3 linked regions of the Ovis aries genome follow. The protein of the gene in region 3 interacts with the protein of the main gene of each other region in a pairwise test. Links are inferred from orthologs where the notes say so. Each region holds a gene or a part of one and is shown on either strand. Other genes may lie near its edges.

Region 1 (6,514 bases), on a different chromosome or scaffold from region 3:
TTCGGATTCTTGCTTAATAGCACTGATCCTTTCTCCCATGGTGAATCTGCGTCCATGATCGCTTTTGAAGTACGGCTGCTCGACACGCAGCTCACTCTTCTCCGATTCTCCTCCGTAGCCGCTGTCTGTGTCCGTATCACTGCCACTCTGCTCGCCACTCGAGTGGGCGAAAGTTCGCTGGATGACTGGCACACAGTTTTTGCCTGGGCCTTCGGAGCCTTTGGCCAGGGAGCTGGGTTTCTCCTTGAAGTCCATTGCTTTGGGGGCTGGGTCTGACGGCTTCCTGGAAGTACCGCCCTGTAGAAGCTCGGAGACCACACGGTGGAGGTGGGTGACAAGCTGTGAAGATTTCAGGTCCCGAGTATTCTCATGCTTGGCCAGGTACTGAAGCACCTCCCGGGCACATGTCTGGAAACCTGAGCAGAACATCTCTTGGCCTGCCTCCACATTTCTTCCCGACAGATCACCTGGATCAACACAGATGCAAAGAGAGACATTTCAGAAGGCGCTGTGGTTCACATGGATACCTAGGTTCCAAAGACCCCGGGGCTTTCCTTTTTGTTAATAGCATTTGCTGATTGTATTTCTAACTCCAAGAGTAATATGATCAGGGGAAATTTGAATTACACTGAAAAGTATAAAGATTAAACTAAAAATCATCCATAATTCTACCTCTCAGAGATAAAATATGATTTGTAATGGCTGTGTAATATCATAGGCATAGACCACATTTGACAGAGACAGACGGTTTCCCCTCTTGTTGCATTTCTAAGGAATTCTTGAGTTTTCGTTATAAGTAACACAGCCATAATCATCCTAGTGTGCTCATAACCAGAGTCAATTTACAGAACATCATCTTACCATAGTGAGATGGACAGTGACCAGTCAAAAAATGAGAATGAAGGAACCACGTCACCTAAAGTACGCTTATTTTCAATGGCTTATACAAGTTGCAGTCATGCTGCTATATTTAAAGGCTATTTCTAGGTTTTTCTCATATAGTGTATCCATGATCCCCAGGAAGTTAGGTATGACCATCTTTCTGTTTTCAATGAGGCAACTGGCAGAACGACTTCCTCATTGTCCTGGTTTGGAGAGGAGAGGAGAGAAGAACGAGGGAGTGGGTAGAGGAATTTCTCCCTCGTTTGTACAGTATTATTTGGAATGGGTGAGACCAGACGGTTAGATGACTGTGATTCTCTGGAAGTCCGTAGAAATGGGTGATGAAACTTCAGTGGTTTCGTTAGATTGTGTAATTCACCGAGATACCTAGTGGCTATTCAGGGAACCACATGAAATGCAGGAAAAACTACTGCTGTCATCTTGCCAGGCTCATACCACACACCGAGGGATAAGGAAGTGGAGAAACATTAAAACACTGGGGCATACCCATGATTTATTCTCCAATGAAACAGGGCTAAGGAAAACAACTGTAAAACACCCACGATGCAAATTATAGGTGCCTTGGCATTTTCAAAGTGGAGGGGACTCCCAGAACCCCAGAAACTCTTAAGCCAAAATGCCACAGAAATATTTTACCATTTGACTAATATGTATTCATGCCAGGTGGCACACAGCAGCATTCCAAATGAAAAGTCTGACCTTTTAGGAAAGATAAAACAGCATCTCCCCCAACTAACATGCATAAGCAATTTGTTGCGGGAATGTTTCTTACACCAGATGTTGAGCTTACAGGCTCTCTATTTGTGCTAGAACTCTAAGGAGATGATAGCCAAACATGGTACTCACCAGCTTGCAGACCGCTCTGCAGGGCAATGATTTTCTGCTGTTGTTGATCAATTAGGTTTGTTAATGCTTTCACATGCTTCAAGGTAAGTTCAAGAACCACTGCTTTTTCCAAGTGACCCAAAGTCTGGAATAAAAAGAGCCTCCGTCAGCAGTGAGCTCAGAGAAGTCCCACCTCTGGGATACTAATTAGCCATGAGATTCATCAGTCGCCTGGGCTACACTTCATGGGGTCGCAAGAGTCAGACACCACTAAGCGACTAAACCACCACCACCGAATGTCTCTAAAGGGGGATAAAAAGGTCTGTTCCTGGTTGGCTAAATTAAGTTTTAAGTTTATAGATGATGTTTAAAAATATGTATATATGCATATATTTTTGATTAGAGGACAGCAAACAAGTGTACCCCATCTTTGGAGGCATTTTGGAAGCAGCAGCTAGCTCAGGAGAAAGCTTTGACAGATAAATTTTTCCAGCAGCCGTTGCTGACCTTAACTCAGGGGAATCCAGAGATAACATTTCTCTGCAGTGGTGTCAACCCTAGTAGAGACTTCTACTGTGTCTGGCAGCCAAGAGGCTTTCCCTAGTTTCTTTCCTGACACCCTGTCATAACTTCTAGCTCATCTACGCTTTTTTGTTCCTTCCTAAATACTATTTTCTCCTAAATACTATTTTTCTCTTCTTTCCCCAACCAAAGGTTGCCAATCTAGTAAGCTATTGACAATCGCCAAGAAAGGACAGGACGTAAAAAAAAAAAAAAAAAAGACACATCAAAACAAGTCCTCTTATTTTAAAAAGGGATGTGGGGAAGGGGGTAAAAAAAAAAAGTGGGTTGCTGGATTTGCTCAATGTGAGAAAAGGAGAACCCGGAGAATCACCTTAAACTCTAGCAAAGGAAGGCCGGCTGGTGTTGGTGCCAAGCTGGACAAGTACAAATGATTCTTATCTTATTTGCACGAGGTTGCCAGAAAATTCTGAGACTGGAGAAGGGTACCCCCAAACAGAGCCAGCCACTAGCTAGGATCCAGCCATCTGGTCTGCAGTTCCTGGCGGAGCCTGCAGGCGGCGGGTGACCCTCGCCCGCCCTCTGGGCAGAGGAGCTGGTTTGGAGAGGGGCCAGCTTCTCACTTACTGTAAGTTTGAGATGTTCGGGGAGGAGATCCTTCAGCTGGGCGATGCACTCGTTAATCCGGTCACGTCTCTTTTTCTCGATGAGCCGGTGCGGCAGTTTGTAGGTTTCCTGCAAAGCGCACGGAGAGATGGTGGGCGCGGGAGGAAGGAGGTGAGAAGCGCTTCTCCTTTCCCACCCCGCGGCAGAAGAGTCTCGGCAGTGGAGCAGAGTCACACCCAGAACCCTATCTGCCCCTTCTTCTCCAAGCCACTCAGTAGAGGCACAGGGCCCACACCTTGCATACCTCCCTCCAACGTTAAAGTGAGAAAACTTTTATTGGAAACTCAGCGCGTGCGAGGGCCTGGGGTCCACAGGGGCGCGGTGCTCTTACCTTGCTGTCCTCGCTCCGCTTTATTCCCCGCCTCGACTTGTACACTTGGTACATATGGGCAAAATCCATCCTGCAGGGAGAGGGACGAGGAAGGGTCATGACTTGCGCATCGGTTGCAGGAGCCCTGACTGGCAAGAACCCCCGGATGCACCCAGAACTACTTGGAGTTGAAAGCCGCGTAGAAGGCAGGACTGGAGTTGAGGCTTGAAGGGGCCAGGGGTGCCAACTTACCCTGGTAGGTCTCCGGGCTCCAGTCCTGGCGCTTTGGGCAGGCAAGTGGGGGGCGGTTGCGCGCTGGGGATCCGCTCCATTGCGCTGCGAGCCGGGGCCACTCTGCGCTCCTGTCTGCAGTGGCGGAGCGTCGGGTGAGGACTGTCGTGGAGGAGGTTTCGGGGGTCTCTCCGCAGGGCTTCCACTGAGTCAGAGCTCTCTGAAATCCGCTGGGCTGCGAAGAGCTGCGGCTTTGAGGTGCTGCTTCAGTTGGGGGCGTGCATGGTGTACCCGCGGCCTCTGGCTCCGGCTCTGCGCACAGACTGGCGGTGTGTGCTCCCAGTGCCGTCTGCACGGTGCGAGCCAAGTGAATGAGAAGTGGGGCGGGCGGGGAGGCGGGAGGGAGGGGGGGTGCGGTTAGGGCGGAGTGGGGGGGGGGATGGTGGGGGAGAGCCGAGGAGTAATGGAGAGGCTGCGGGCTGGGTTAAATGGGAGCGAGTGGGTGGGTTGGAGCTACGTGTTCTACCCTGTGACTCCAGGCACGTCTGGCCGCTGCCGGGGAGGGAAGGAGCGACCTGCCCGCCCTCCCCCGGCTTCATCACATGAGTCTCACGTGTTGGACAACGCTCCCGCGGCTGCGAGGGAGCCCCCACCCCCCAGCCCCGGCCCCCAGGTGTCTGCGGCTGCCTTTCCCCGAAGAGGGGGTTGGCAGGGCAGTCTGGGTCCTGCCTAGCTGGGCGAGGGGCGCGGAAGCTGGAAGGGGCTAGGGAGCCGGGGAGGTGGTGGGGGGAGGTTGGTAACGTGGGCGAACCTGCCCCAGGGAAATGAAGTAAGTTCCCGTCTCCTGGGAGGGAACGGGGGAGGACGGATCCGCCCGCGTCTGACTCAAGCCGGGAGAGGAATATCCCCTCGCTCGCTCCAGCCCAACCCTCTTCCTCCTCCTCCCCCCGCGCGCCCGCTCGGAGGAACCAGCGCGCAGCAGAGGGAGTCGCCCGGCCCCCCTGCCTTCCCCAGAGGCTGGGGTTTCTTTCCGCGCCGGCTTCCCTGCCCCCACCCCTCGGCCCCGAGTCCAGGAATCGCCCGCCGTGGGGAGGGGCCGAGGAGGGCGGGGCGGATGTCACCCCATGGGAAGCGGGCTGGCAGCCAAGCGCAGGGGCAGGCGAGGCCGCCGCGGAGCACGCTGCGCGCACCTGACCCGCTAGGCTGTGCGCCGCGGTCCCTGGCTCCTTTGGAGCTGTGCTCCCGGGGCGCAGTCTGCGTGCCGGCGGACACTCACTTGCGCACCCCCCAGGGTGCCCCAGTGCCCCCACCCCCCTCCCCGGCCCACACTTAGGCTGATCAAGCACAGAAAGAGACCGGGCGCGGTGCCCTGCGTTTCCTCCCTCCTCTGCCCCCACTGGAGCAGAGGCGCCCGGGTCCCCTCCCCTTGGGCTGCAACGTTACACAACCGCGGCAGCGGCGCTTGCCCTGCGGCAGCGCGGGGCGTGACACTTCACCTGGCCTGGGCTTGGGCCGCAGAGCTCCTGACAGAGCGCCCTTCTGCCCTGGCCGGGGACCAAGACCCCCGAGCACAGGAGCTCCCGGGGGTCGGGGTCGTCCATCTCCCCCTGCCGGGGACTTCTGCGGCGCAGTGTGCGGTCTGCAGCCGGGGCAGGATGGAAAAGAGAGACTTGGAAAAACTGCCCATCACGCTGACGTCTTAGCGTTCATTCACTCGACAAGTGTTGGTTGAGCCCCCTACCCTGTGCCCGGCGTTGTGCTTAGATACGCTGCCAGATACACTGTAGGTGAATGGAACACAGATGCTGCTCTTGAATTCACAGGAACCTCTGAGGAGGGCTTACCCTGGGAAATGAGGGGAAGGCAGTACTGGGAAAATTGTATCGGTGCTGCTGGTGAAGAGAAGGGAGAAGATAAGATAGAAAGTGTGGGCTTAAAAAAATTTTTTTGGTATTAAAAAAAATTATTTTTAAAAATTTAATGTGAACCACAATATCTGGGCAGAGGAGGAGAGGGGAGACGTTAACCCATCGCCCGGAGCCTGGGGCAGAAGGGCCTCCTCCAAGCGGCTCCAGATCTCTGCAATCTCTCTGAGGCCGCCCGAGGCCCCCACCCACTCCCCCGGAAAAGTCCGGCCTCTGTGACCTTCTAACTCTGCCTGGAGCAGGGAAAACAGCTGAAACTCCAAGCCCGCTCTGTGAGCAGCGCTGATGCTGTCAGAGGAGGGAGCCAGTGGAAATTCATGACTAAAATAAGGCCTGGCTGGGGATTTCACTGACCTCTGTGCTGCCCTGCCCTGTAAGTTCGGGGAGTTGAGAGATGACTGTGAGCCTTTCCCACCGCGCCTCGGGTCAGTCACCCCGCTGCCGAGTGACCTGGCTGTGGGAAGGATTGAAAAAAACTACAACAACAAAACGGGGTCAGTGCTGAAACCTGGTGAAGATCAGCCTCGGGTGCAGTTGAGGGGGCGGGTAGCGGTGGGCTCAGTCTTAATTGGCAGTGTCCTTGACAACCTAGAGATCTGGGATTCACACGTTGACCAAACTGGGAGTGGATTTCCTTCAGGTCGCTTTGGAGAGCTCCCACTTCCTGTTTATGTTTCACAAGCGTCAAACTCATTAGCAAGTGTGAGAAGTGCCTCCTTTTCTAAGTGCTGACTAGCCTGGCCTCGCCTGGGGGCTCAGCATCGCTCTGTCCTGGAATGTACTTTTGCTGGCTTGTGTTACCAGCCTTCTCTCTGGAGGTGATACGGCTTCCTGCCAGAAGGGGGGCAAGCAGGACCACAGGCAGGAGGGGACAGGAGTCAGTTCTGGGTTTGTGCTTTCAGTCAAGGGTGACCTGCTCCATTGTGAGAATTTAATAGGGATGAATGAAGAGTTGTCATGACTGCGTCTGAGCCACAGTTGCACCAGGAAATAAGTACTGGGGAAGGATGGAACACATGTCCCCCCATGGGTCACTCTCCCCCAGCATAGACACCCCCCCCCCCACCGCCGCAACCAGGAGTGAACCCAAACAGTTCAGATTGCATGGCTCAGAGCTCAGTATCATTCCTAG
Region 2 (6,514 bases), on a different chromosome or scaffold from region 3:
GATCATAGCAAAAGCAAAGAATCGGAAACCAATAGACTGGTAGAAGGGTTTCTTGCCAGTCCTGGATCATAGCCCGTTGTTGTTGCTGTTCAGTTGCTGAGTTGTGTCCAGCTCTCTTGTGACCCCATGTAGCCTACCAGACTCCTCTGTCTATAAGATTTCCCAGCAAGAATACTGAAGTGGGTTGCCATTTCTCTCTCCAGGGGATCTTCCTGATCCAGGTATAGAACTCATGTCTTCTGCTTGGCAGATGATTCCTTACTGCTGAGCCACTTGGGAAACCCAATTCATATTCAGAATTGGGAGACTCCTTTATTCCTAGGGCAATGTTGCAGAGCAAAGTTTAGACTGGGTGTGTGTCTGTGACTTTCCTTTGTAAAGTGGGAGACAGCTGGTTATACAAGGGGAGAGGGAAGCTGGACTTCAAAGACTCCAGTTCCATTCCCAGGTCTAGTCCCACAGGAGTCGAGGTTCTGGTAACTGACTCTCTTGAACCCCTTCCTGTCCCCAGAGTTGCCTCTGACAAAGTCACCTTGTCTGAAAACAGCTACTCTGCATTCCTTCCCTTCTCTGTCCTCTCAACGCTGCCTCCTAAGGAGCTCAGGAATCTGTCCCAGGCTGTTTATCCTCCCTACCTAGCACTCTGGTTGGTCTTCCCACATGGTGCAGTGGTAAAGAATCTGCCTGCCAAGGCAGGAACACAAGAGATGCAGGTTTGATCCCTGTGTCGGCAAGATCTCTGGAGAAGGAAATGGCAACCCACTCCAGTATTCTTGCCTGGGAAACCCTGTGGACAGAGGAGCTGGTGGGTTACCGTCTACGGGTTGCAAAGAGTCAAACACAGCTGAGCAGGCACACACACGTGCACCACTTTGGCCATTAGGATCTTATCCTGCCGTAGTGTCCACAGTCACCTGCTCCCACTCCTTTTTCTCCAGGCATGGCCCATTCCTCTCATACTGCAGCCAGGGTGAGCTCCCCCAAATGTAGATCTGCTGGTGAACCAGCTCTGGCTGAAACTCTTTCCATCTCCTCCAAACCATCAAGAATCTGAGTAGGAATGCTTATCTCTCCAGCGGCCTTATCCTTTGTCCTGCTTCCCTTAAATCTATATTCTGGTCAGAAATAGGCCCAGGTACCTCTGACCCTCTCGTTACCTTGCGATGGCACTGCTGCTTGCAAAATGGAGCTAGAAGGAATCTGACTTCATAGGTAAGGGTCTTGGTTTGGATTTGAGCTGTTTTTCCTTAATTTCTTTAAATGTCAGTCTCCCTAATTGTGAAACAGAGATAATATCTCAAAGAGTTCCTCAGACTAAACAGGTGTTTTGCCTGGCATACTGTTAATGCTCAATAATAAATGCAAGCTCTTTATTATTGTTTTTATTACTCACGTTGCAGTAAGTTAGCTGTTAACTTCTGTTACTGTGCCAAACTGTGAGCAACTAGAATCTCCACCAACGAAGCTTATTCTATGTATCCCACTGCGGAGCCCATGGCAGGAACGTATTACTTATGAATAAAGTACTGCAAAAGGACCAATGAAAAAAATTGCTCCGAAGAAGCAATCCTAATTTTAAAAAATCTTTCTTTAGTGCTTATCAGGTGTATTACTCTTTCACCCAGTCTCCTCAACCCTGGAGGAGGAAGGGGCCAACTTTTTCAAATGTGGGTGTGTACACAGTAAGTCATTCTGCTTTTAGTGGCACGGAGCTCATAAGAGTCCACATCCTCACCCAGGGAGGGGGATGAATTGGAGCCTGGGGACCTAGGTGGGAGCGGACCCTGGCGAGAAAAGAGGCCACAGTCCCCTCCAGTCGGCTTTAAAATTTTCCGCGGGTGGGGCCCGCCTGGGCACAAACCACGCCCCTCTTGGAGTCCCCGCCCCTTATGCGCCCAGTGCCAACCGGCAGCCAGCCAGGCTTCCGACCAATCAGAAAAGGCCTTAGGCGGGAGCTGCCGTCCAGCTAGCCAATAGGCGGGCGGCCGCAGCGGGCTTGCCCGGGCGTGTAGCGGCTGCCGGCTGCCTGGACGCCACGTGCTGGCGTGAGGGGACTCGTGGGGCTTTCAGGTGATCTCGGGGACCCTGCCGGGGATCTCGGGGTGGGGCTGGCTGGCGCGACATGTCCAGGCCGCGGAGGGCCCCCGCGAGGTGTGTCCGCCCCCGACTTGTGGCCGGGGACTCCCGGCCGGGCCGGCTCTGCTCCCGGGGCCCCGGGAGTGCAGGCCCGGCCCGGGGCGCCTCTTGGCCCGCATCGCGCCCTGCTCTAGGGTCTCGGGTCTGAGTGGGTGGCGCTGGGCAGTGGGGCCGGGCCTGGTGGGCGTTGGCCGGGCAACCGCGACCCCTGAGTGACCAGTGCTTCAGTCCCTCCCTGGTGAGGCCGGGCCGCCCGCAAGTCACTCCCCGGAAAGCCGGCGGCCATGGGAGACTGAGCAGGATCTCCTCGGACTTTCTTGTCTCATTTTAACTTTTCAGCAGCACAGGGGATCTCATCGAGCCGGCTTTTCTCAAATTCCGGCGATTATTAGTGTCCTGTTGCGGGGGGCGGGGCCGCGCAGTCTGAAATAGATTCGAGGGCCCTTTTCCCCAAATGGCAGTTGAGAAGGTGTGGGGGTAGGCTTGGAAATCAGACTTTTTAAACAGACTTCTTAATTGTTTCTGATAATGAGCTGCTTTTTGGAGGTGGGTTGCCTGGAGAATCCCAGGGATGGGGGAGCCTGGTGGGCTGCCGTCTTGGGGTCGCACAGAGTCGGGAACGACTGAAGTGACTTAGCAGCAGCAGCAGCAGCAACCTAGTTCGACGCTGGGTTTAATAAACCCTAGTTTTAAGTTAGGTCAGCCATCCCCAACTTTTATTGGCACCAGGGACCGGTTTGGAAGACAAATTTTCCCATGGACTGGGAAGGCAGGGTGGATGGTTTCTGGATAATTCAAGTGCCTTATGGTTCTTTCTCATTTAATGGGGCTGCTGATCTGACAGGAGGTACTGGTCTGTGGCCCAGAGGTTGGGGACCCCTGAGTTAGGAGACAGTGTCTTGGTCCTGTTCATCTAGCTCTTTAGTGCCAGAGCAGGGTCTAGACTGCCCATCTTCCTGATAGCCCACAAGTTGGTGGCCCTGAGGCCACTGGCGATTCTGACTTTGGAGTTCCTTTGCCCAAAGGCCTGTTGGCTGCTGATTCAGATGTTGGTTCTGGGCGGGAGAGAGATTTGTTTGCTTCACTGAAACATTTGTTGTTTGAGCGAAGCTTCTGCCTAGCTTCACTGAGCTCCGTGTGGCAGCCCAAGATGAGGACTGTGTGCTCTTGATGATTAACTGTTGGTTCTGATGTGTCAGCTAAGTCAGGACATGTAGAAGAGGACTGCTTTCATTTCTTGGAACAAAGAGCCCCGAGACCTTTTTTCCCCCCTCCTCCATGTGGCTCTGCGACCCCACGGACCTCCAGGCTCCTCTGTCCGTGGGATTTCCCAGGCAAGGATAACTGGAATGAGTTGCCATTTCCTTCTCCAGGAGATCTTTCCAACCCAGGGATCCTGCATCTCCTGCATTGGCAGGTGAATTCTTTACCACCATGCCACCAATTTCTGGCCTCTTTGAAACTTTGTCAACAGGTTTAGGGAGGCCATCGACCCTAGTCCAGGCCTCCTGACCTTGCAGGGTCCTTGGCCATCTCAGAGAAGGACAAGGTCCCTCCTCCCCTACAGAAGGCAGTTATTAGCGGCTCTCTGTCTTCTTAGACCTCATTCTCCCCATTACTGGGCCAAGGCAAGTTGAGGTTCTGTATCTGTCAGCCTCAGTAGGTGACTTGTGAATATGAAGGTGATTATAGTTGAGAGCCCCTTTAAAAAGGAGAAGGGTTCTCGGGGGAAGGGATCAGGAAGCAGAGGGAGGATGTCATGGAGACTCCTGTCTGGCCCAGGCATCACCGCATGGTAGGTAGTTCATCTCTCCTCCCATTTCTCTTAATCTCTGCTGCCCTTGTGCAGAGTCCTATGTTCTTTCTCCAACTCTCTTCCTTTAAGGCAATTGTGATCCTGTCCCTCTCTCCCTAAAACTCTGGAGATTGATGGTTCCCACCTACCTTTGGATGAAGCCCCAACTTTGACTTTTCTCCAGGGACAGTTCTCCCTGACTATCCCCGTCTCCTCGCCCCTACCTCCTTTCTTTCCAGTTGCTGCATCCAAATCCTTGCTTTCCCACCATGAGTCTGTCCTGCCTCTTGGACTTTGTGTCCATGTTTTTTCCTGTCTGCATGCCCTTCCCTTCCTGGGCTGACTGGTAGACCTTTCTGAAACCCTTCAAAGTATCTCCTCCACTGCCAGGCCTTCTCTAACTTAGCGCTTCTGCTTTTTAAATACCTGGCCTGATGACAGTCATGGGTCCTTCCATATATTTATGTGTGTGTGTGGGTGTATGCAGGGGGTTTATAATATATACATAAAATAAATGTAAATATGTAGCGTAATGGGGATTTGGCCGCAATAAAAATATATACTAACCAGTTGAAAGCCTAGGATACGACACTGTACTGACTCCACAGAAAATCCCTTTGATACTATGAAGAATAGTTGATTCAGGAGTTAAGAATGAGCAGCTCAATTTTAATCAGATGTACTAGGAAACAGCATTTTCATGAATACAGTTGCAATTAAAATTGGTCACCTATAAAGATTTTAAAGGCTATATCAAAGTATACAGTCTAGATGAAAGATGGATTAATGAACCAGGAGACTGAAATAATGGGGTGGGGAAGGGAAGGATTGGGAGTTTGGGATTAGCAAATGCAAATTATTACAAATAGGATGGATAAACAAGTATAGATAGCACTGCTGCTGCTGCTTAGATGCTCAGTCATGTCCAACTCTTTGTGACCCCATGGACTACAGCACGCCAGGTTCCTCTGTCCATGGGATTTTCCTGGCAATAATACTGGAGTGGGTTGCCATGCCCTCCTCCAGGGGATCTTCAGGACCAAGGGATAGAACCCTCGCCTCCTGCATTGCAGGTGGATTTTTTTTAATCACTGACCCACTGGGGAAGCCCCCTGTATAGCGCAGGGAACTATATTCAATATCCTGTGATAAATCATAATGGAAAAGCACATGAAAAGGAATATTTGTGTGTGTAACTGATCACTTTGTTATACAGCTGAAGTTAATAGCAACACTGTAAATCAGTTATACTCCAGTAACTTTTAAAATAATAATAATTTTTAAAAATACACATGGATTTTACCATTTCCTATTCACAAGGGAAGGGTGGGTTTACATGCAAAGAACCTGAATTGGTTAGGTACTTATTCTGAGCTGAGTTAGTCCCTGCTCTGACTACTTCAAAGCGCTGGTTTTGTGGTCTGTTCAAAATCTACCAGCTGACTTATGACTTAGCACAGCAAATGAGATGAGGCTTCCCAAGCTGCATCCTTGACGATTTGGAAGATGCCAGTCTTTGCATGGGGTTTGTAAACCCACAGGAGCAAACAGCTGTTTCCTGTGACCATGGTGTGTGACAGCATCTCCTGTCAACCCAGCGTTCAGGCATGGAGAGCGTGGAGGAGGGACCACGGAAGTCTACAGCACTGTACATCAGGGCTCTTTTCTGTTTCTCCTGTTTAGATTTGAGCTGGTTTACCAGCACACACCTATGCCTGTAGGCCTCCATGATTACACTACAAAGTCCAACTATGTTAAATGTTTGTAGACAGTGTTATGACGAGTGAATTAGAAAGTCAGTTGATAGATATGTCATTTTGGTTAACACATATCAAAAATACAACTGTTGTGGGCTTCCTGTGAGATAGTTTCTCTAGGTTCTACTGTGGGTAGGAAAGGTTCTACCTTTACACTGCATAAAGCTTTTGTTTGTTTATCCAAAATGGGATTTCGTATATATGTAACATCTCTGTAATCTTTATTTTCTCATTTTGTTTATTTTCTCTTAAACCTCTCTAAAAGTTTTTCATAATTTTTAGTTTAAGCTAACAATGTTGGAGGTAGGCTATGGTGTGGAATTTGAAAGCCTGGGTTCTGGGTTCACATCAGCCTTTGTCTGTTTATTAATTGGATGAATTACTAAGCCTTCATGCCTCACCTTTCGCACCTACAACATGGGGATAATAATACCTTTCTGAGTTGTGGGAAAGATTGAGTGATTCCATGTAAAGTACTTAAGACAGTGATTTTGCAGGTGATGTTGACCCTATGAGTGCAGTTATCATTAAAGCAGGTCCTTGGCTTTGTCTGGGGTCTTGAGACACTGTACAGCAGTTGCGCACTGGCTGGAGGGAGCGGGTGGGGGGGCAGGGCTGGCCGGGCCTGTTCCTCACCCTGCCCCTCTGCCCTGTTTCTCTCCCAGGCTGCTGCCCTGTTGGCAGATCACCTCCCAGGCCTCCCTGGCCCTGAGTGGTGCACAGATGGGGATGGTACCCCAGGAAGCTCCTGAGTCAGTGCAGTGCCTGAGCCCTTCCCTGGCCAGCCGGAATGCCAAGGATGTGCTTCGGAGGAAGCACAAGAGGA
Region 3 (6,586 bases):
CCCTAGCGCTTGCCAAATTCACTTACTTGCTAAGGGCAAAGTCCAGGATCTCAGCTGTGTGGCCCCGGTAGTCAGTGAGCAGGCGGCCAGTCCGAGCATCCCAGAGGCGCACAATGCCATCCAGGCTGCAAGTGTAAACCACGGCGGTGCCTGCCTCCCACAGCAGCTGCACGATGCCCGACTGCAGAACGGTACACAGAAGCGGGGTACATCAGGGGCATCTGCTCCCAACTCTCAGGGAGGGAGGGAGGGATGATGGACCATAGGGAGGACTGGACAGGAGCCAGGTCTGGGGCAGATGCTCCCAGAGGACCTGGGCTGCCCCACAGCCTGTACCTGGTGCTGACACTGGTGCCTAAGGGTCTGTGTGGACAAGTCATAGATGGCCAAGGTCCCATCCAGGTAGCCAACAGCTGCCAGAGGCATCCTGGGCAGAAGAGAGCATCACGAAGGCTCGTGGGGGGACCTGCACTTGGTGCCTCTGTCCTCTCTGGCCCTCCACCCCCCTCCCCCAAGCCCGTGTGCCCAGGCTGAGGCCGCGCTCACACTCACACACTGCAGAAGCCCAAGGACTCCACAGAGTTGGACTCACTCTCCTCCCCTTCTCCCAGGTTCGGCTGGGAGGCCACAGTCTCGGGTCTGAAAACGCCCACCACCTATGAGCCAGAGGACAGGATCAGAAGAGGGCCTGGAAACGTGATTCTCCAGTAAGAGAAGAAAACCACTGGGGTGAGGAGGCTGAGTGAAAAAAAAGAAGAAACGGAGACGCAGAAAGCAGAGGGCCCCACAGCCAGACTTCCAGGTCCCACTCACCTTGCCAGTGGTGGCACTGACCAGCTTGGCCTGGCAGTCTACAGAGCCAGTGAGGATCAGGCTGCCATCCTGGTTGGTGGCGACACAGGTCAGAGGGCCCTGGTGACCCTCGGTCCCTAGGATGAAGCAGGGAGGAAAAGTCAGGCTTCATCTTGACCCAGGTCTCGGCCCTTTCCCCACAAAGGCCTAGGTTAACACCTTCCCCACCTCCGATACCTTTTAGTACGTGGATAGGGTTTCCCTGCTTCAGGTCCCAAATCCTGATGGTGCCATCTTCATAACCAACTACAGCACGCTTCCCTAAAGGATCAGAGATGCAGGTGAAGAGTAGACAACCAGCACAGACACATCAGCACATCAGGCAAGAGAAGAGGGAGGCAGACAAGGAAGCGAGGGAGCAGACAGTGCCCCAAGGAAGGCCCAGTTCCGGGTGAGAAAGGGGGAGCTGTTTGCTCTGGTCCTGGGAGGTCCCTGCTCCCAACAGCAGACCTCGGAGTTTGCTGACCATGGCCCAGGAGGGTGCCAGGAAGGTATGGAACCCAGACCCCACGTGTCCACACTCAGGAATGCCACTCTCACCATCAGGGAGGACTCGGCCACAGGTGGCCGGGCAGTTGGGGCCCTGGAAGGTCTTGCAGTCACCAGTCGGAACCTTCCACATCCAGGTGTTGCCATCAGCCGTGCCCGCCAGGAGGACAGGTGCCCGAGGGTGCCACTCCATCCACTGGGCAGAGACAAAGGCTCAACAGGGGTACCCCCTACCCCATCTTGCCTAGAAGCCTGCCCCCGGAACTCCACCAAGCTCTCCCTGCTACCGAGTCAGTGGGGACATCCCAGGTGACGGGCCCAGACACTCCTGCTATCCTCTGGGAGAGCACTGGCTCAGAGCTGGCTTGATCCGTTCAAGGTGGCATGGGCCCCTGAGCTCTCCCCACTCCACTCGGCCCTCAGAGTTGAATCCTACTGTGACAGTCTCACCTCTAGATCTCCTGCTTCAAACGACCAGACCTCCTCCTTTGTGTCCACCTGCCACACTTTTAAGAGACCACTCATGTCTCCTGTGGCCACTAGGGTAGAGTCATGGCTGAAACCAGCACAAGTCACGGAGTCTTTATGGCCTGCAGAGAGTGAGCAGAAAGAGAAGAGAATGTCGGGGTACCTGGTGCTGGGGATACAGGACCCAGGTGTCCAGCCCCCAGAAAGTACCAGCTTGGAAAAACAGGATGAGTCCCCACAGAACAGGTAACCAAACTCAGAGCTGCTGCAGAGGCCAACACCCCCAGCTCTCCCCAGGCAAGACACTGCTGGGCCCCCACTTGACCGTGTGTAGCCCAGACTTATGTCTTCCCCATTCTGTCCACATCACACCTCTGCCTGAAATATCCACAGCCTCCTTCCCACCCCCATTCTCCGTCACTAGTGCCGCCTCCTCCAACTCTTTCCCTGACTCCCTTGGCCAATCAGCGTCTCCCTCCCCCACGCCCACAAAAGACTAGGCTATTCTTTGGGGCTCTTGGGATAAGCATAGAGCTGGCAAAACAGAGGTCAATAAATGGCTGTTGGATGTACAACCACTGCAGGCCAGCCCCCTAAGACCTCCAAAGAGGCAGGACTTCATCGAGCCCCCTCACCTGCACACTCAAAGAGCAGTTCCCCATCGCTGAGCCTCCACACAAAGGCTTTGTCGTCTTCGCCTCCTGTCACTGCCAAGGTGTTGGTCTTGGGGTCCAGGCTCACACAGAACACTGATGCTGTCCCAAGAGATATTCCAAGAGTAAGGAAGTGGGGATCCCACCTAGGTCCCGTCCTTCAGGACCTTTGGGGAGCCCACCCCGTTCCACCTAAAGCAACATGTCTTTCTTCCTAGAAAAGAAGAGTGCATCCAAGCTCTTCTAAGTTTCAAGCATTCAGTTGTTGAAGTCCTCCCCAAGCTTGCCAAATTCTAAGTCCCTCCCCAGGACACATCACCCTCCTGCGCTCTTCCCTTCACCCCACACTTCTGTGGTGGACAAGAGGAGGGGACGTGTGTAGGGCTTACAGTTCTCAGAGTGGGATGCCACCAGGTTGGGGGCTGAGTGAGGAAAGCCTGTGTTACTGGTTCCTTATCAAAAGTTAATATTTAAGAGGTTTATCCATAAGGTACTATTATCCCTAATTCAGAGTAAAGGAACTTTTATCAATGACAACTTTTTAAAAGGAAACTAAAGCCTAGAGACGTCAATAAAGATCATAAACAACCAAATAGCAGAGACAGGATTTGAACCCAAGTGTGTCTCAACCGACTCCAGGAGCCAACAGCTCCTCCACCACAAAGGCAACATTTTCCCACCGCTACACAGCGGATGATGTTCTAATGTCCACCTGGACTGATCTTAGGACAGCTCTCCCCAGGGACCTACCAGAATGCAATGCAAAAGTGACCTCGCTGTCGTCGGGGCCCTCCATGCTGCCGACCACCCCTTCCTGGGGTTCCAGGACCCAGCCCTCCTCATTGCCCTCTTCTTCTTCCTCTTCCTCGAAGTCCACATCTTCCATCTCCTGGACCAGATCGTCTGCTTTGGGGAGAGGGTTAACAGACGGTGTGCGGCAGGCGGGAAGAGGGATGGCAAGTGTGGGGAGGCCCGAGGCTGGGGTGGTCATGTGGCGAGAGGGCAAGGTGAGGTCAGACAGGAGGGGTGAAGCGGGGAGGGGGTGAGAGGCGGCAGGGAGGAGGGGGCGTGCGGAACGAAGGACCGGAGAGCTCTGAGGATCTGGGGTTGGCCAGAGACCGTGTGGGAAGGGAGGACCGAAGGAATGATGGGAAGGGGGTGTGTGAGGGGAAGGGCCAGGGGAGGCGTCAGGGGAACCCCCACCCCGGGCCAGGCCTGAGAACTAAGTGTGGGGCTGGGGGAGAGGGGAAGGGCGAAGGAGGTAAGTAGGAATGATAGGTGGGGTGGGGTGGGGAGCAGAGGGGGGAAAAGCCGGGGTCAAAAGCCAGGGGTAAGAGCCTCTTGTCCCATGGCCTGAGGATCCGCAGCTCTTACCCGGGTCCGGAGGACCAGGGTCCAGTTCTACCACCTCGATAATCTCTTCGTCACCATGGAAGCTTAGAGTCTCCAACGGGGGGGTGTCAGCAGCGGCCCCGCTCTCCGATTCGGACTCCATGCGGCGCAAGCGGCGGACCCACTTCTCTGGGCCCAAACGCCTCCCAGAGTCAGCTCTGCGCGACGACGCGGAACTCGGGCCCCTCCTCCCGGGAGGAAGTAGGCGTAGGCGACTCCCCGGCAGGGAGAGCGACGGCCTCTTGACCAATAGCGAAAGGGGTGGACCGGCTGAGTCACCAATCACAGGGCAGAAGCGGGAGACGAGGCCGAGGCGTGGAGAGGAGAACCCAAACTCTGCCCGACCTGACTCCGCCCCCAACAGGAGGGAAACAAGCGAGTGTGCGCGCTTCCGGGCTCTCCTGGGAAGAGTAGTTCTCTTGGGTACGCTGCTTGGGCTTCTGGGAGTTGTAGTTTCTGATCTGTAGGCCGGACGGATACAGCGGGGGAGGCCCCTTACGCAAACTACAATTCCCAGCGGGGACTGCGGTGAAGGGGGGGTGGGATCTGAACATGGCGGCGGTGGTAGCTGCTACGGCGCTGAAGGGCCGAGGGGCGAGAAATGCCCGCGTTCTCCGGGGTAAGGAGAGGGACCCCGGGGAGGGCGGGACTGGAGGGGATACCCTTTTTTTTCACATCCCGCTAAGCTGTAGCAGGAGTTCAGGGCTGTCGATTGTTGCCCGCATCCCTCTGCAGGATTTTAGAGTCTGGGGGCTAAAAGGTGCTCTTTAAAAGTCAACCAGTCCATCCCTCAGCCTACGACACCTCTGGGGTCTTGCACGGAAAGGGAGCCTCAAGGAAGCCTTTTAGACCCCCGCGCTCCAGGTGTTTCACACTCACCGCAGTGCAGAGGAAAAGGGCCCTGGGCTTCTGGAGGCTTGGGTTCTAGCCCCGGATAATTAGCAGTTTGACCTTGGGCGAAGCGGTTCGTCTCTTGGGGCTTCAGTTTCCTCTTCTATAAAATGAGGGGATGGAGTAGACTACCTTTAAGCTCCCCCTCCAGTGCTAACATTCTGCAGTTTGCAAACCATTTCTCGGATTTTCTTTCACACGTCTCACGCGAGCCCCACTGCAGTCCCTTCACATCCTGAGGTCTGAGGAGATGAAGAACAGCGAAGCTCGCTCTCCCGGCACTAGGGTGATGAGCCTGCAGTGACGTGGAAGCGGCTTTCAAAGGTGCCACCTCGATGGCGATTTTCCCATTTCCCTCTGGACTCTCTCAGGCACCTGTTACTCCAAATTGCAGTCACTCCCCTTCCTCAGATCTCAACCAGTCCTCCCTAGGCTTTCTTCTCCTCTTCTCTTAACTGACCTTCCTTGCCTCCATTCACAGGGATTCTCTCAGGAGCCACTGCTAACAAGGCTTCCCAGAACAGGAGCCGGGCACTGCAAAGCCACAGCTCCCCAGAGTGCAAGGAGGAGCCTGAGCCCCTCTCCCCTGAGCTGGAATACATCCCCAGAAAGAGGGGCAAGAACCCCATGAAAGCTGTGGGACTAGCCTGGTAAGTTTTAACTAACTCTTTGCCCACCAATGGGGAGTGGCACCAGGGGCGGGGGGCGGCGGGGGGGGGGGGGGACCCAGAAACTTCTCCAAGTTTCAGGTGATGAACTGAATCCAGGGTTGCCAGGACAGAATGGCTGGGTGTGAGGACTGGAATCTCAGAGGACTGGAGCAGGGGAGGGAGGTGACAAAGTCTGTGAAACTGGAGAGAGAGTGGGTTTTCTGTGCACTGAGCTGAGCTAATCTGATTCAGATTTGGGTCTATGGCCTCATCCTCTCTTTTGGGAGCTTGGGGCAGGACCCAGTTGAGGTTTTAATTGAGATCATGCAAGATTATGTTAGTTACACAGTAGTAGCACCTATAAGTCAGAGAATGCAATGGCAACACACTCCAGTACTTTTGCCTGGCAAATCCCATGAATGGAGGAGCCTGGTAGGCTGCAGTCCATGGGGTTACTAGGAGTCGGACACGACTGAGCGACTTCACTTTCACTTTTCACTTTTATGCATTGGAGAAGGAAATGGCAACCCACTCCAGTGTTCTTGCCTGGAGAATCCCAGAGAGGGAGGAGCCTGGTGGGCTGCCATCTATGGGGTCGCACAGAGTCGGACACGACTGAAGCGAGTTAGCAGCAGCACCTTTAAGTAAGATGTTCAGTGTATTGTTATTTGGATTTGATTCTGATCTTAATACTGTTGTTCAGTTGCTCGGTCATGTCTGACTCTTTGCGACCCCATGGACTGGAGCATGCCAGGCTTGAGCAATATTAAAAGCAGGGAGAAATTAATATTTTTTTCCAGCACCCGAGGTGTGCCAGTCCTTTACTGTGTATTGTTTTAGTCTTTCTGAGATAAATAGGACATCCCTATTTTACAGAGGAGGGAACTGAGGCTCAGAGCTGGGTTTTCACCAGGTCTTATAACTCCACGCCCTTTCTCCATGCTGAAGTGCCTCCCACATAGCAGTTGCTCAGGTTAAGGAGAGTCAGGGATGGGGTGTGGGGCGGTTTAGGCAGAGGGAATTTTTGCCAGGACTTGGAGAGGGAAAGAGGTTGGGCTTTCTGGAGAACCCTGCACAGTTGTTACGGCAGGCTGGCAGGGTTCATGCTAGGGAGTGTCAGACTAAAGGGAAAAGGAGTGACAGGTGGGCAAAGACCCAACCACAAGGCCTTTTGTGCCGTGCCTGGGAGTT

The links.
Region 1: the proteins of AAMP (region 3) and BHLHE40 interact in a two-hybrid assay, tested with the Homo sapiens proteins (2 studies listed by BioGRID and IntAct). The link is inferred for Ovis aries from reciprocal best matches to the Homo sapiens genes AAMP and BHLHE40.
Region 2: the proteins of AAMP (region 3) and AEN interact in binary tests that used the Homo sapiens proteins (3 or more experiments, as listed by UniProt). The link is inferred for Ovis aries from reciprocal best matches to the Homo sapiens genes AAMP and AEN.

The regions. Positions count from the first base shown.
Region 1 is NC_056072.1:21,380,644-21,387,157, forward strand, and holds the start of BHLHE40 (class E basic helix-loop-helix protein 40), read right to left. Parts: upstream 3,559-6,514; coding exon 3,479-3,558; exon of another isoform or gene 3,318-3,478; coding exon 3,248-3,317; exon of another isoform or gene 2,986-3,247; coding exon 2,878-2,985; intron 1,874-2,877; coding exon 1,750-1,873; intron 468-1,749; coding exon 1-467. UniProt on the Homo sapiens protein: Transcriptional repressor involved in the regulation of the circadian rhythm by negatively regulating the activity of the clock genes and clock-controlled genes.
Region 2 is NC_056071.1:18,976,696-18,983,209, forward strand, and holds the start of AEN (apoptosis-enhancing nuclease), read left to right. Parts: upstream 1-2,002; 5' UTR 2,003-3,812; coding exon 3,813-3,931; intron 3,932-6,353; coding exon 6,354-6,514. UniProt on the Homo sapiens protein: Exonuclease with activity against single- and double-stranded DNA and RNA. Mediates p53-induced apoptosis.
Region 3 is NC_056055.1:220,304,732-220,311,317, forward strand, and holds the start of AAMP (angio-associated migratory cell protein), read right to left. Parts: upstream 4,009-6,586; 5' UTR 3,958-4,008; coding exon 3,837-3,957; intron 3,369-3,836; coding exon 3,213-3,368; intron 2,565-3,212; coding exon 2,445-2,564; intron 1,932-2,444; coding exon 1,792-1,931; intron 1,538-1,791; coding exon 1,393-1,537; intron 1,114-1,392; coding exon 1,030-1,113; intron 930-1,029; coding exon 814-929; intron 657-813; coding exon 553-656; intron 428-552; coding exon 337-427; intron 182-336; coding exon 27-181; intron 1-26. UniProt on the Homo sapiens protein: Plays a role in angiogenesis and cell migration. In smooth muscle cell migration, may act through the RhoA pathway.